2 linked regions of the Saccharomyces cerevisiae S288C genome follow. The gene in region 1 interacts genetically with each later gene. Each region holds a gene or a part of one and is shown in the gene's direction. Other genes may lie near its edges.

Evidence for each region.
Region 2: mutations in URK1 (region 1) and CSS3 together harm fitness more than expected from each alone (negative genetic interaction), as found in Saccharomyces cerevisiae (one large-scale study listed by BioGRID).

The regions. Positions count from the first base shown.
Region 1 is NC_001146.8:645,056-650,611, forward strand, and holds URK1 (uridine kinase URK1), read left to right. Parts: upstream 1-2,376; coding exon 2,377-3,882; downstream 3,883-5,556. Other genes in the region: DEAH-box RNA-dependent ATPase PRP2, read right to left, coding at 1-1,895; PHO91 (Pho91p), read right to left, coding at 3,973-5,556. UniProt on the Saccharomyces cerevisiae protein: Catalyzes the conversion of uridine into UMP and cytidine into CMP in the pyrimidine salvage pathway.
Region 2 is NC_001147.6:14,143-21,807, reverse strand, and holds CSS3 (Css3p), read left to right. Parts: upstream 1-4,011; coding exon 4,012-4,527; downstream 4,528-7,665. Other genes in the region: ENB1 (Enb1p), read left to right, coding at 497-2,317; YOL159C-A (uncharacterized protein), read left to right, coding at 6,303-6,575; YOL160W (uncharacterized protein), read right to left, coding at 7,154-7,495.

The DNA.
Region 1 (5,556 bases):
TTGCTATTTAAGGCACCTAAAATGTATAAATTTTCCAAAGACTTCCGTAATGTGGGGATACTGGGCTTATCCATCAGGGGAAACTTTATTAGGTCAGTAACGCCAAGCGATAATAATAATAACACCGTATTAGAAAGATTTGTTCTTGTGATCTCAGGCTTAGGCATAAGTTCCAACTCGTGCAAATATGACCATTTGGTAAAAATTCTAAAACATTTTCCCGGCCCAACACGACCAGCCCTACCGGCACGCTGATCAACTGAAGCTCTTGAGCATGGAACTGTTAAAAGTTGGGTCATTCCAGTGGAGGGTACGTACGAATTTTCCTTAACAAATCCAGGATCAATGACATATCTAATACCATCAATGGTCAATGAAGTTTCCGCAATATTAGTTGCCAAAACAACTTTCCTACAATTTTCCGGAGTCGGCTGGAAAATTTTCAATTGCTGCTCTTGGGGTAAATTTGCGTATATAGGAGTTATAATCATTTGTTTTGTTCTAGAACCTAATTTAGACATGATCTCCTCCAGTTTGGTTTTTGTTCTTTCAATTTCTTCTTGCCCCGTTAAAAACACCAATATATCCCCCGGTAAACTTTGCGTAGTATGAATTTGAAAAATAGTTGTTATAGCGGCATGTATATAGTTTGCCTCCGGCTGTAATGTGTAGTGGATATCTACAGGATATCTTCTCCCAGGAACGTTGAAAATGGGACAATTATCAAAAAACTCTGAAAATTTTTTTGCGTTCATTGTTGCTGATGATATAAGCAATTTTAAAGTGGGCCTCTGCGGCAAAATATCTTTCAGCAAACCTATCAGGATATCTGTGGCTAGAGTACGTTCATGAGCTTCATCAATCATAATACAAGAATATTTGCTTAATTTGGAATCTGTAAGAAATTCTCTTAGTAACATACCATCCGTCATATACTTTAGAACCGTTTTATTTGGGGTTGTTTTGTCTTCAAAACGGATCTGATAACCCACTTCCTTCCCAAGCACAACATTCATTTCATCTGCTACTCTTGCAGCAACAGAAGTGGCCGCCACACGACGTGGTTGTGTTATGGCAATCTGTAACTTTCCCTGATCAGTGAATCCATCTTCTACCAAATATTGGGGTAACTGTGTGGTTTTACCAGAACCGGTTTCACCCATTATAATCAAAACTTGATTTTTTTTGATCTCTTGTAGTAGCTCATCCTTGTATTGATGTACAGGCAAAAGTTTTCTTGCCTCTTGTATAGTCAGTATACGCTTTTCCTCAGTTTCTAAAGCTTGTGCTAGACGTGCCTCATATTGAAGTTTCTCTTCAGGTAGTAAATCGTCCTCCTCATTAGTATAATCAATCATTGCATCTGTGTCGAACACATAATCGTACTTGTCAGAGCCTTCCAATGTTATATCATCAGGGTGATCGCTTTGCCCCGCCATAGCATTTCGCAATTGTTGTTCTTCCCACATGCGTTGTCTGTTTATTTTGTCAATTTCTTTTGCATTCTTTATTTTATGAGTAACTTCTACGTTAAATTTAGAATTAGAAGAGGCGTACTTAGTTTCATTCTCGGAGTCACCTAGTAGACCCTTCTTTGTAGTAAGTTCATTATTTGACGTTATTTTTTCATCATACTTTGATGACTTTTTTTGTGATCCAAGTTGTTCTCCTTTTAAATTGTTCTTTTCTGGACCTTGGTTCGTATTAGAAAAAACTTTATTGGGGTCATAGCGTGATCGTTTTAGCTGCAAGGCAGAGTTCTTATCCTTGGCCTCTTTGTCTTCTTCCTCACCCAAGGAAGAAGGCTCTATTCTTACTGCATTGTCATTCTGTCTTGTAACTTCATACGTTCGTTTCACTCTTCGCTTACCGGTTTCAGATGTAATACTTGACATGTGTTGCTATACACGCTTGTTATCTATATAGATGCCAATTAAACATATAGCAGCTATCCGTTATTACTTATACAATTGATTAATATCACTTTTTAATTGTCCGGGTAACTAACTGTCTTCCACTTTCAGCACGTTCTCGTCATCAGGTTGTATGGGCTAGTACTGTTTTGGCTACATTTGAGATACGAGCACTTAAAGAATTCTTGCATATTTTCGATGATTAGTCTTTAATTTTCCCACTTGTTCTCACTATTTCCTCTATTGTCTTAATACGCTCACATATCGAAGTTTTTTTTTCATGCGATGAGCTTCGAGATGAAAAAAGGAAACTGAAAAATTTAGATCGATAAGATAAGAGATGTGATTTTTTTTTTTTTTCGTAAGGCTGTAGGCCTTGGATAACGTCTTATTTACTATTTATATGCGACATCTTCGATAATTTCATACGTTTAATTTCGAACTCGCATTTATTTTATTTATTATGTCCCATCGTATAGCACCTTCCAAAGAACGATCTTCATCATTTATTTCAATTTTAGACGATGAAACAAGAGACACATTGAAAGCTAATGCAGTCATGGATGGTGAAGTAGATGTCAAAAAAACAAAAGGAAAAAGCTCTCGGTATATCCCACCATGGACAACTCCATATATAATAGGTATAGGTGGTGCTTCAGGTTCAGGCAAGACAAGCGTTGCTGCTAAGATTGTGTCGTCAATTAATGTTCCCTGGACAGTATTAATATCTTTGGATAACTTTTACAATCCATTAGGCCCAGAGGACAGAGCCAGAGCCTTTAAAAATGAATACGATTTCGACGAGCCAAATGCCATCAACTTAGATTTGGCATATAAGTGCATTTTGAACTTAAAGGAGGGCAAAAGGACAAATATCCCAGTTTATAGCTTCGTCCACCACAATAGAGTTCCTGATAAAAATATAGTCATATACGGGGCCAGTGTGGTAGTTATCGAAGGGATCTACGCCCTTTACGATCGCCGATTGCTGGATTTGATGGACTTGAAAATTTATGTTGACGCTGATTTGGATGTCTGCTTAGCAAGAAGATTGTCGAGAGATATAGTTTCCAGAGGGAGAGATTTGGATGGTTGTATTCAACAATGGGAGAAATTTGTGAAACCAAATGCGGTAAAGTTTGTGAAACCAACAATGAAGAATGCAGATGCTATCATTCCATCGATGAGTGATAATGCTACAGCGGTAAATTTAATCATTAACCACATCAAGTCAAAACTGGAACTAAAATCAAATGAACACTTAAGAGAGCTAATCAAATTGGGCTCTTCTCCTTCACAAGATGTGCTTAATCGTAACATAATTCATGAATTGCCGCCCACCAACCAAGTTCTTTCGCTGCATACTATGCTTCTAAATAAAAATCTAAATTGCGCGGACTTTGTTTTCTACTTTGACAGGTTAGCAACAATTTTGTTATCATGGGCACTTGATGACATTCCTGTAGCACATACGAACATAATTACACCTGGTGAGCATACCATGGAAAACGTTATTGCCTGTCAATTCGATCAAGTTACAGCTGTTAATATTATTCGATCTGGCGATTGTTTTATGAAGTCTTTGAGAAAGACGATCCCCAATATCACAATTGGTAAATTGTTGATTCAGTCCGATTCACAAACTGGGGAACCTCAACTGCATTGCGAATTTTTACCCCCAAATATAGAAAAGTTTGGCAAGGTTTTCTTAATGGAAGGTCAAATCATAAGTGGTGCGGCCATGATCATGGCCATCCAGGTGCTTTTAGATCATGGTATTGATTTGGAAAAGATTAGCGTGGTGGTTTATTTGGCCACTGAAGTTGGTATCCGACGTATATTAAATGCATTTGATAACAAAGTCAACATTTTTGCTGGTATGATCATCTCCAGAGAAAAGTTACAAAATCATCAATACAAATGGGCATTGACCAGATTTTTTGATTCAAAGTATTTTGGTTGTGATTGAGAATAATTAGAGGCAATATAAAGTAAAATTAAATAATAGTGCACGTATACATACTATATTAGTAACCTTTCATTCTCTCTATGGATAATCTTAAAATCCCATTACTTTCAATATGCCATAACCTACTGTAACAATAGCGGCATAACTTAACAAACTGGCTGGTACACCTCTCGTAATAAATGTACCCACGGTCAAATATCTATCACCAACTTCATCAATCATTGAAATGGCAGTCACGTTGGGGAAACCAGAGGTTGGAAGACCCATAGCACTAGAGCATAATAGGGCGGCTATAACGATCAATAGTCTAGAATGATCACCTGAAGGTAGATTGGAACCGATCTCACTCATTAATGGTACGATGATCATTGCCGCGACGGTATGGGAGACAAAAGTGGCCATTACAAGAATCACTAGACCGAAGATCAACACAATAATGAAGATTGGTTCATGCTCAACCTGCGCCTTAATTAACTGTGCCATTGTAGACAATAAACCGGATGAGCTTACCGCCTTACCTAGGGTGGTACCTCCCATGGCCAAAACAACGATTGTCCACATGAAATTATTGAAATCATCCGAAGTTAGAAGACCTGTACCGAAGAAGACTACTATAGGTATAATAGATATGATTCCCATTTCACCAAAGATACCGGAGATTTGGTTTGAAAGACACCAAAGAACAATTGTTATAATGCAAACTAAAGTGACAAACCATTGCTTCAGAGTGAATGGATCACGGGATGGATGCAATTGCAAAATTTTCACATTTGGCTCAGGAGGGAAGGTTATGATCAATAGCACCCAAATTGCCATGACACAAATAAAGCACACAGGTAGCGCAATCATAAACCATTCAGCCCAAGATGGTGAAGGGTCCATTATACCAATAGAAAAAATGTTTTGAGGAGAAGCGATGGGAGAAGACATACCACCGATATTGGAGGCAAGAGCGATACCAAGAATTAGAGCTTTGGCATAGGAACAATTTCTTGGCAGTGTTCTGAGCAAAGGTTGAACAATTGAATAGCAAAGAACGGGGGCAGCAACATTAGAAACCCACATGGAAACAAAGAGCGCCACAAACATATTTGTTAAAAGAATAAAATGTGGGTTTGTACCGGCGGATGCCAAAATATGCGTAGAAAGGACTTTGGCAATGTTGTACTTGGAAAGGGCGGCTGCTAAAGTAAACCCACCCAGCAAAAGCATGATGACACTCGACCACATCGTTGATAAGATGAACTGAGAGGAATCACGGGGAGACATTGGTTGGGAGGTGATAGGGTCCTTGATAACAGGGAACACTACAATAAGCAGAGGAATCATTAGAGAAGTCACGAAAAGGGGGATGGTCTCAGTGGCCCATAATAAAGATGCATATATTAAGATGGCGAAACAGTTTTTCTGTAAGGAATCCTGCGTAAAAGGAGTCAAATTAAAAGTTAATAATGCAATGAAACATGAGGTGATTAACAGAAACTTCAGCAGGGAAGTTTGGCCCATGATAAATTGCAACCATTGCTTGGGTGGTAAATGCATGAGTTCACGGAAAGTTAGGGAATCCGTTGATGGAGCGATGATACCGGCGCCACCACTCGACATTGCCATGGATTCAGTAATGTTGGCATTGGGGCGCAATTGACTGGAACTCAACTTTGAAAACTTCTTGTT
Region 2 (7,665 bases), on another chromosome or scaffold:
TCAAATTCAGGAGAATAGACAAGCCTACATTTTCTGTAGTTCAAAACTTTTTATGGTTTGACTTTGTTTTTTTTTTTTTTCGTTTTTCTTTTTTAGTTGAACTAATGGGACCCTCAAACCTAAAATTTTCCGTTTTCGTTTAATCCTCGCATCATATATACCAAATAAGGACACAGGGTTTTCAGTGAGCAAATGTAAGGGTTTCTATGGATTATAAGCCCTTCGGATCAGAAACAGGGTTCCGTAGTTTGGGCAAGAATTGCCCTTAGTCCTGAGTCAACTGCAAAAATCTGTTTAAATTATTGCACCCAAATGTGATACAAATGTATACTATTATAGAGGCTGCCACGGCTTACAATTGCACCCCTCTGTGGCTTTTGAGTGGCGAAGGGTCTATGTTTGGATAATAGAGATGACTTATTTAATTGAAATGATGGTTTGGGTCCTAGCAGAACTCTAATATAGCAAAAAAGTGCTCGTGAATGTCTCTCTGAAAATGCTGGAAACTGATCACTCTAGGAATGACAATTTAGACGATAAAAGCACTGTCTGCTACAGCGAAAAGACAGATAGCAATGTTGAGAAGTCTACCACGTCTGGCTTGCGCCGTATAGACGCTGTCAACAAGGTCTTGTCTGACTACAGCTCTTTCACAGCTTTTGGAGTTACGTTTAGTTCACTCAAGACCGCCCTACTGGTGGCTCTGTTTTTGCAGGGTTACTGTACTGGACTCGGAGGGCAGATTTCGCAATCAATACAAACCTATGCCGCTAACAGTTTTGGAAAGCATTCTCAAGTAGGATCGATCAATACCGTCAAATCAATAGTAGCCTCTGTTGTCGCAGTGCCATACGCACGTATATCTGATCGGTTTGGACGTATAGAATGCTGGATTTTTGCGCTTGTGCTCTATACTATTGGAGAAATTATTTCTGCTGCTACTCCAACGTTTTCCGGACTTTTTGCAGGTATTGTTATACAACAGTTCGGTTATTCTGGATTTCGTCTTCTTGCTACAGCACTGACTGGTGATCTGTCTGGATTGAGAGATCGTACATTTGCGATGAACATATTTCTGATTCCCGTGATTATAAACACATGGGTAAGTGGAAATATTGTTAGCTCAGTTGCTGGTAATGTTGCACCATATAAATGGCGTTGGGGCTATGGAATTTTTTGCATCATTGTGCCCATCTCCACCCTAATATTGGTCCTTCCCTATGTGTATGCTCAGTACATTTCCTGGCGCAGCGGTAAGTTACCACCATTAAAATTGAAAGAAAAAGGACAGACCCTGCGTCAAACGCTCTGGAAATTTGCGGATGACATAAACTTAATTGGAGTCATTCTTTTCACTGCTTTCTTAGTTTTAGTATTATTACCTCTCACAATAGCTGGTGGAGCCACCTCCAAATGGAGAGAGGGTCACATTATTGCAATGATTGTGGTTGGTGGCTGCTTAGGTTTTATCTTTCTAATTTGGGAATTAAAATTTGCTAAGAATCCATTTATCCCACGAGTATATCTAGGTGATCCAACCATCTACGTTGCATTGCTAATGGAATTTGTATGGCGTCTAGGTTTGCAGATTGAGTTAGAGTATTTGGTCACCGTGTTAATGGTAGCATTCGGAGAATCAACATTAAGTGCGCAGCGGATAGCTCAGCTTTACAATTTTCTACAGTCATGCACTAATATTGTTGTCGGCATTATGCTGCATTTCTATCCTCATCCGAAAGTCTTTGTAGTCGCTGGGTCGCTTCTTGGTGTCATCGGAATGGGTCTTTTGTACAAATACAGGGTGGTATATGACGGGATTTCGGGTCTTATTGGCGCTGAGATTGTGGTCGGTATAGCTGGTGGTATGATACGTTTTCCTATGTGGACGCTAGTGCACGCTTCAACCACCCACAATGAGATGGCAACTGTCACTGGGTTACTAATGTCCGTTTATCAAATCGGAGACGCAGTAGGTGCTTCCATCGCTGGTGCTATATGGACTCAGCGTCTGGCAAAGGAGTTGATACAGCGACTCGGCTCTAGTTTAGGGATGGCAATCTACAAATCACCACTCAATTATCTAAAAAAATACCCTATTGGATCAGAGGTTCGTGTTCAGATGATAGAATCCTATTCGAAGATTCAACGCTTATTGATAATTGTGTCCATTTCGTTTGCGGCTTTCAATGCTGTTCTCTGTTTTTTCTTGCGTGGCTTTACTGTAAACAAGAAGCAAAGTCTTTCCGCAGAAGAACGAGAGAAAGAGAAGCTCAAAATCAAACAACAATCATGGCTCCGTCGTGTAATTGGATATTGAGCTGGAGAGTACTAGCGATACAAATATAGTGTTAAGCTCTTTCCTGAACTAGAATTCTCTTTGAAATAATCACTGTTAATGTAAGTAGTAATCAATAATGGCGTGTAACAGTATAATATTGTTGTCTGAAATAAAAAACAACAAAAAGTTCGAATTAGTTTTATTTTATTTTTCTTTTCTAACTAAGTGAATATCCATACGTTTGTTACGTTTATTTCAGCAATATTATAGTCTTAAATGGGCTTGACAATACAAAAATCAATGAGATTATTCGCACCTGTCATTTCCCGTAGTTTTTATAAAGAAATATAAAAAAAAATGTTGCGAAGAACTTTTACTAGAGCGTAAACGAATTAAAAAAAATTAGTAGTGTAAATATAATCACCACCTGCCGTAAGCCTGCTTGAGCCCTTTATTATTTAGTTTTAGCTGTTGCTAACCTGACTTTCATACTTCTTATAATTGACGTCATAAAAAATATTCAAAGTTCGAAAGAATGAAGAAAACATTGACCGACTTAAAAGAAGCAGTAACCCCACGAAATTTTAACCAGTGCTGATTGTGCGAGAAATCGACTCCAACAGTCTCAGATCAGAGAATATATGAAATATTAGTGGCCCCATACTTATAATGGTTCGCTGATTAATGTATAACAAGCGTGAAAGTATGTATAGCTGCACGGATTGTAGATAGAGCTCATTTAATATTAGGTATTTTGCCCATGTCATTTTTGTGCAAGTCATTTTCTCCTTTGGAACTAAATTTTCTTTAAAATATCTCATATACAAAAAATCCTAACTCACAAGTTAATGTTTTCCATCATAAGTAGACGTTTATTTAAAACATGTTATTATATATTGATCCACTCTTTGCAGTGTCGTTTTCCTACAAAAATTAGATACTTAATCTTGAGGAGTGTAGAAATAAGTGAAGGCGACATAAAGATAGAGAAACAGCCATGAAATTTAGTGAAAGCTGACACTCAAGAATTAGGAATGTAATAAGATAATGAATCACAACATATAAAATGGAAAGTGAAGTAATAATACTATTCTATAGAATAATCGACGATCCTTCATGAATTGCTATATATCTGAGGAGAACTTCTAGCATATCCTGCATACCTAATATTATAGCCTTCAATAATAATGAAAATCCTAACAATTATCCAATTATTCACCAAATTCTCTATTTCAACAGTAGTATTATGGCATTGATTATATTGCAAGCTATAGATTCGATTTCATGAATTCATAACACTCTAAAAGAGAACTTCTGCAATACTCTGTACAAATAACATTATTACTTTTACTAAAAATAGATTTCCGGACACTAACTTTTGAATTCTTATCAAAGCAGTCGAATGCCGCGTCCTACGGTTTATGTATATAGATTTAAAAATACACGTTAAAGACTGTTTTCTCCATAATTCTTGTTTAATATACCTATGAACATAAGCGAGTCAATCAAACTCGGGAGTAAAATGCTTTAAGGCACGCCGCTTAACCTTTTAAAATACATGTCTGAACATTATGTAACCAAACTAAAATTGCTTTTAAATGGATCCGCGCAATATCTAAAAACATTAACTATAAAGGATAAAAATTTTGGACAAAAAATAGCAGTAGCATGTTTGCTTCCTAAGCGTTTGAAGTCAAAACCATTTTTAAAAGGGTAGAGAGGCTTAGTAAAAAATGGTTCCCTTATTTGGTTTATTTTGCATTTTTTCTCAATTGTACTCATTATGCTCCGCATATGTTGATATCACCAGCGGTTACCAAGTATTTTTCAACTTGCCAACTAATATGACAAACAATCAAATATGCTGGCTATTCCAAGCATCTTACTATGATATTTATTCTGATAAAAGTGGTAGAACACTTAGAACGGGACGGTTTGAACCCGGCGATCAGCAATCTTTGATTTATAGGGATACCTTAGTTGAGTTGGAGGCTATTACAGATTCTTATGAGTACAGTAACCTAGATCTATCGACTTATAACGGACCTGAGCCATATAATTCTGAGACTGATTATTGTACAGATATAATGGATTTGGTAATGCGTGTATATGATGAAGAAGGACATTATGTTCATCCAGTTGCGAATAACTCAACAAATGCTTGCGCTCATCCAACTCCTCCTACGTTAAACAATCTATTGATAAGTAATTATTCTGACGGAAGAAATTATAAAGAGTCTTCTATATAATGGTGTAGTAAGGATACTGGAACCCTTTTATGACACATTTAGCAGTAAGATACATTTTTGGTTGATGTGATCAAGATTTTTTAGTTTGTAGATTTATTATATAGCACTGGGACATCATTAACATCGCACTTTCGAGTTAATGTATGTATACACAACATCGAGGAACAACAGCATCTAGGGTTAATGACATTGTATTGTATACTTTCGTTGTGCTAGTGGTGGCGTGATGCAAGAAGCTGATACATACCTGAAAATGAAAGAGGACGTAGCTATACGGTGTTTGTGGACGAGTTCACATACAGTACTGAAAAAGATGAGGATGGGCTGAGATAAAGTTTGAATGATAATGAATATTATTACATCTTCTTTCATTTTATATACCGTCATTCATTATCCCATGAAATTATCAAGCCTCGCGTTTCAACCTCTACTAAAATCGTTGACTGTTTCTCAATATTTATGTCTTTCTTACGTTGTATACGATAATATACACGTACTATGGATACTAGTCGATATATGATAGTTAATTCTCATTCCAATAAAAGTCGACACTACCGCTACCACCTAAAGTTATACTGTTTTTATGCGTGCGTACGCAACAGTTCATCAGAAAAATGTCTATCGTCAGAATCATCCCTCTGACATTTCAATTCCAAAAAGATTGCTCTATCTTTGGAAAGTGGCTAAACCTAGGAGTATTATAAAACTCACAAGTTCTTAGAACTTGCTTCGAGAGATCATAACAGGACAAGTATAATACGAGACGGAATAAGATTATCATACCAAAGATACAAAATAAAACAATTGGTAGTCTAAGGTGACAAAATTAACTGAAGCTGTAGCTAGCAATAAAAAAAAGATTCAAGATGTTCAGGGAGTGACGTATATTCCAATGCTTCCAATACAGCAGGCTTCAAGATTGTTGCTTCACTTTCAGGGCGGTGATTTGAAAGCAAACTCCCAAATTTACACTTAATTCTTCTCCTGAGCTGTTCAATGCAAAATGCACAAATTGTTATTTCCCATATAATAATTCCAGTTGACAGCACTATATCTAAAGGTTTCCGTATAATGATGATTTACCGCGTAGTATCATATAAGGGAGTAACAACAGCATTAATTATCGTGCCATTACTAAAAATAACTTAAGCATCAAGCGTAAATTATTGAACTCCAAACTCTATCAAACACTTAAAATAAACCAATATTGAAGAAAATTCGCAATATGTTGTAAAGATTCTGCTGACTAGAAATGGCAGGTAGGATTTTTTTTTTCTATCTAAAATGGTAAGATGAGCATTTTTTACTTGGAACGAGTGTAAAAACAGCAAGGTTACAGCCACATAATTCTCTAATAATACTGATGGAAAGCCGTCTTATTCGGAAGCTGTGAGTATTTTTTTCGTTGATTTGTTGCCAAAAAAATCCATGCAGAAGTGTACTCACTGGTTTTCATTTACCTTTTCAGCAGCACACCTGCCTGCCCCTTATTTTTAACGATTTCTTTCCATTTAGCGTAACTGCTGCCTCGGATTATTATGGTGTTTTTCCACCAGCTCTGCTTAAAGCGTAGAGTTCGCTTGTCTTCTCCCTCCCATCAACAGGAATTTTATTGATCGCGTAATTTCCTACCGACAGTTTGCAGAATGCCAGGTCAGACAGATTAAATATTAAATGAATAGCCCCATAGAATAAGTACTATATATACGCTGCTAGTTTCTTTGTTTTGTCGAGTTTGGGACCAAACCAATACCATTTGTGGAATCACTGCACATATGCAATACTGTGAACTCGATTTATCAGGGCAGTGGCTGGATACAGTATATTGTGAAGAGAATTTCTCCGACTTTGTCTTTATAAAGTTTCTAAATCCTTCACAGTTTGAAGAGAAGATATATTGTTATACTTTACATATCACCAAAAGGACACTAGAAAATAAGAGATTACTTTTGTATTATGAAGATGAATTCAAAAAACATGGTCACGATATTAATGAGCTTGTTGGCGACGGTATAATCTTGCGTTCATGCTGGAACCCTCGACAGTAATCAGACCGAGATTCATGCGTATGCTAGCTCTGTTGTCGACTCAGTAAACTTACAGCAAACCAATGGTACTATCAATCTAATCATAACTGAATTCAATGGTACTACCATTGGCTTTGATACAAACGTTACCAAAATTAATATTCTTGACGCCGACTTTTCTTTTCTTCGCCAACAAGTCAACCAAGAAATGCTAAAAAGAGGAAAAGGGTGTCTTAACGCAAGGTATCGTATCTCGACTGGAGGTTGTACTGATTGCGGTAAATCGCTCGGCTATTCATCTGCACACAATTGCGGTGGAAAGGGCTATTCATGCATTAAAACGTGCACAGAGAAGAATGGTCATGTTTGCTGTGAAGAGTGGTGTGGATCCAAACGCGCTGTCCAAAAAGAGGGATTTGAGAGTGGATGCTGCTTTAATAATCAATGTTACGGTGGCCATGACCACCATGATGAGCTTTAAATAATAAAGTTTAGGTAATATATATAAAGTGGGATAGTATACAAGCAAGAACGTATTAAAATAAAAGCTGGAAAAAAAAGTCACCAAAGCACGCATCTATGTGATGGCTTATTCAATCTTATATAAAGAAGAGCAATAATCTTGGGCTATTTTTGACTGAGAAAACTCTGTTGTTGGCCATTTTTAGAAAGAAGCACCCATTTTTTTTCCGATTTCCTATCCTACTCACCTGGTAATTGTAACAGTGCTTTTTCAGTTCCATCATGTACTTTCGCCTCTTAATACGATTAAACACAGCTTTAGACCAGTTTAAAGAGATACAGTGATTAAATAAGGTGGTCTGCAATAGAAATATTGGAAATGATATGTTATGATAATTTTCCAATGTAGCGCTATAAAATTGGCAGCCGTATATACCTCTTGTGCAGCTCTGAAGACAAATGAATGCTATATTTTCCATACAAAACTGTCATATAGAATCGTGCAAGAAAGAAATCACCCCCTTATGTCTAATAGTAATGTTTTTAGAATTGCTAATTTTTAAAATACCAGTACTTCTTCTATTAAGAAACAGATTAAAGCTCTTGGTGCATGCATGTTTATTCTTGAAGAGTATTTAGCAGAATGCCC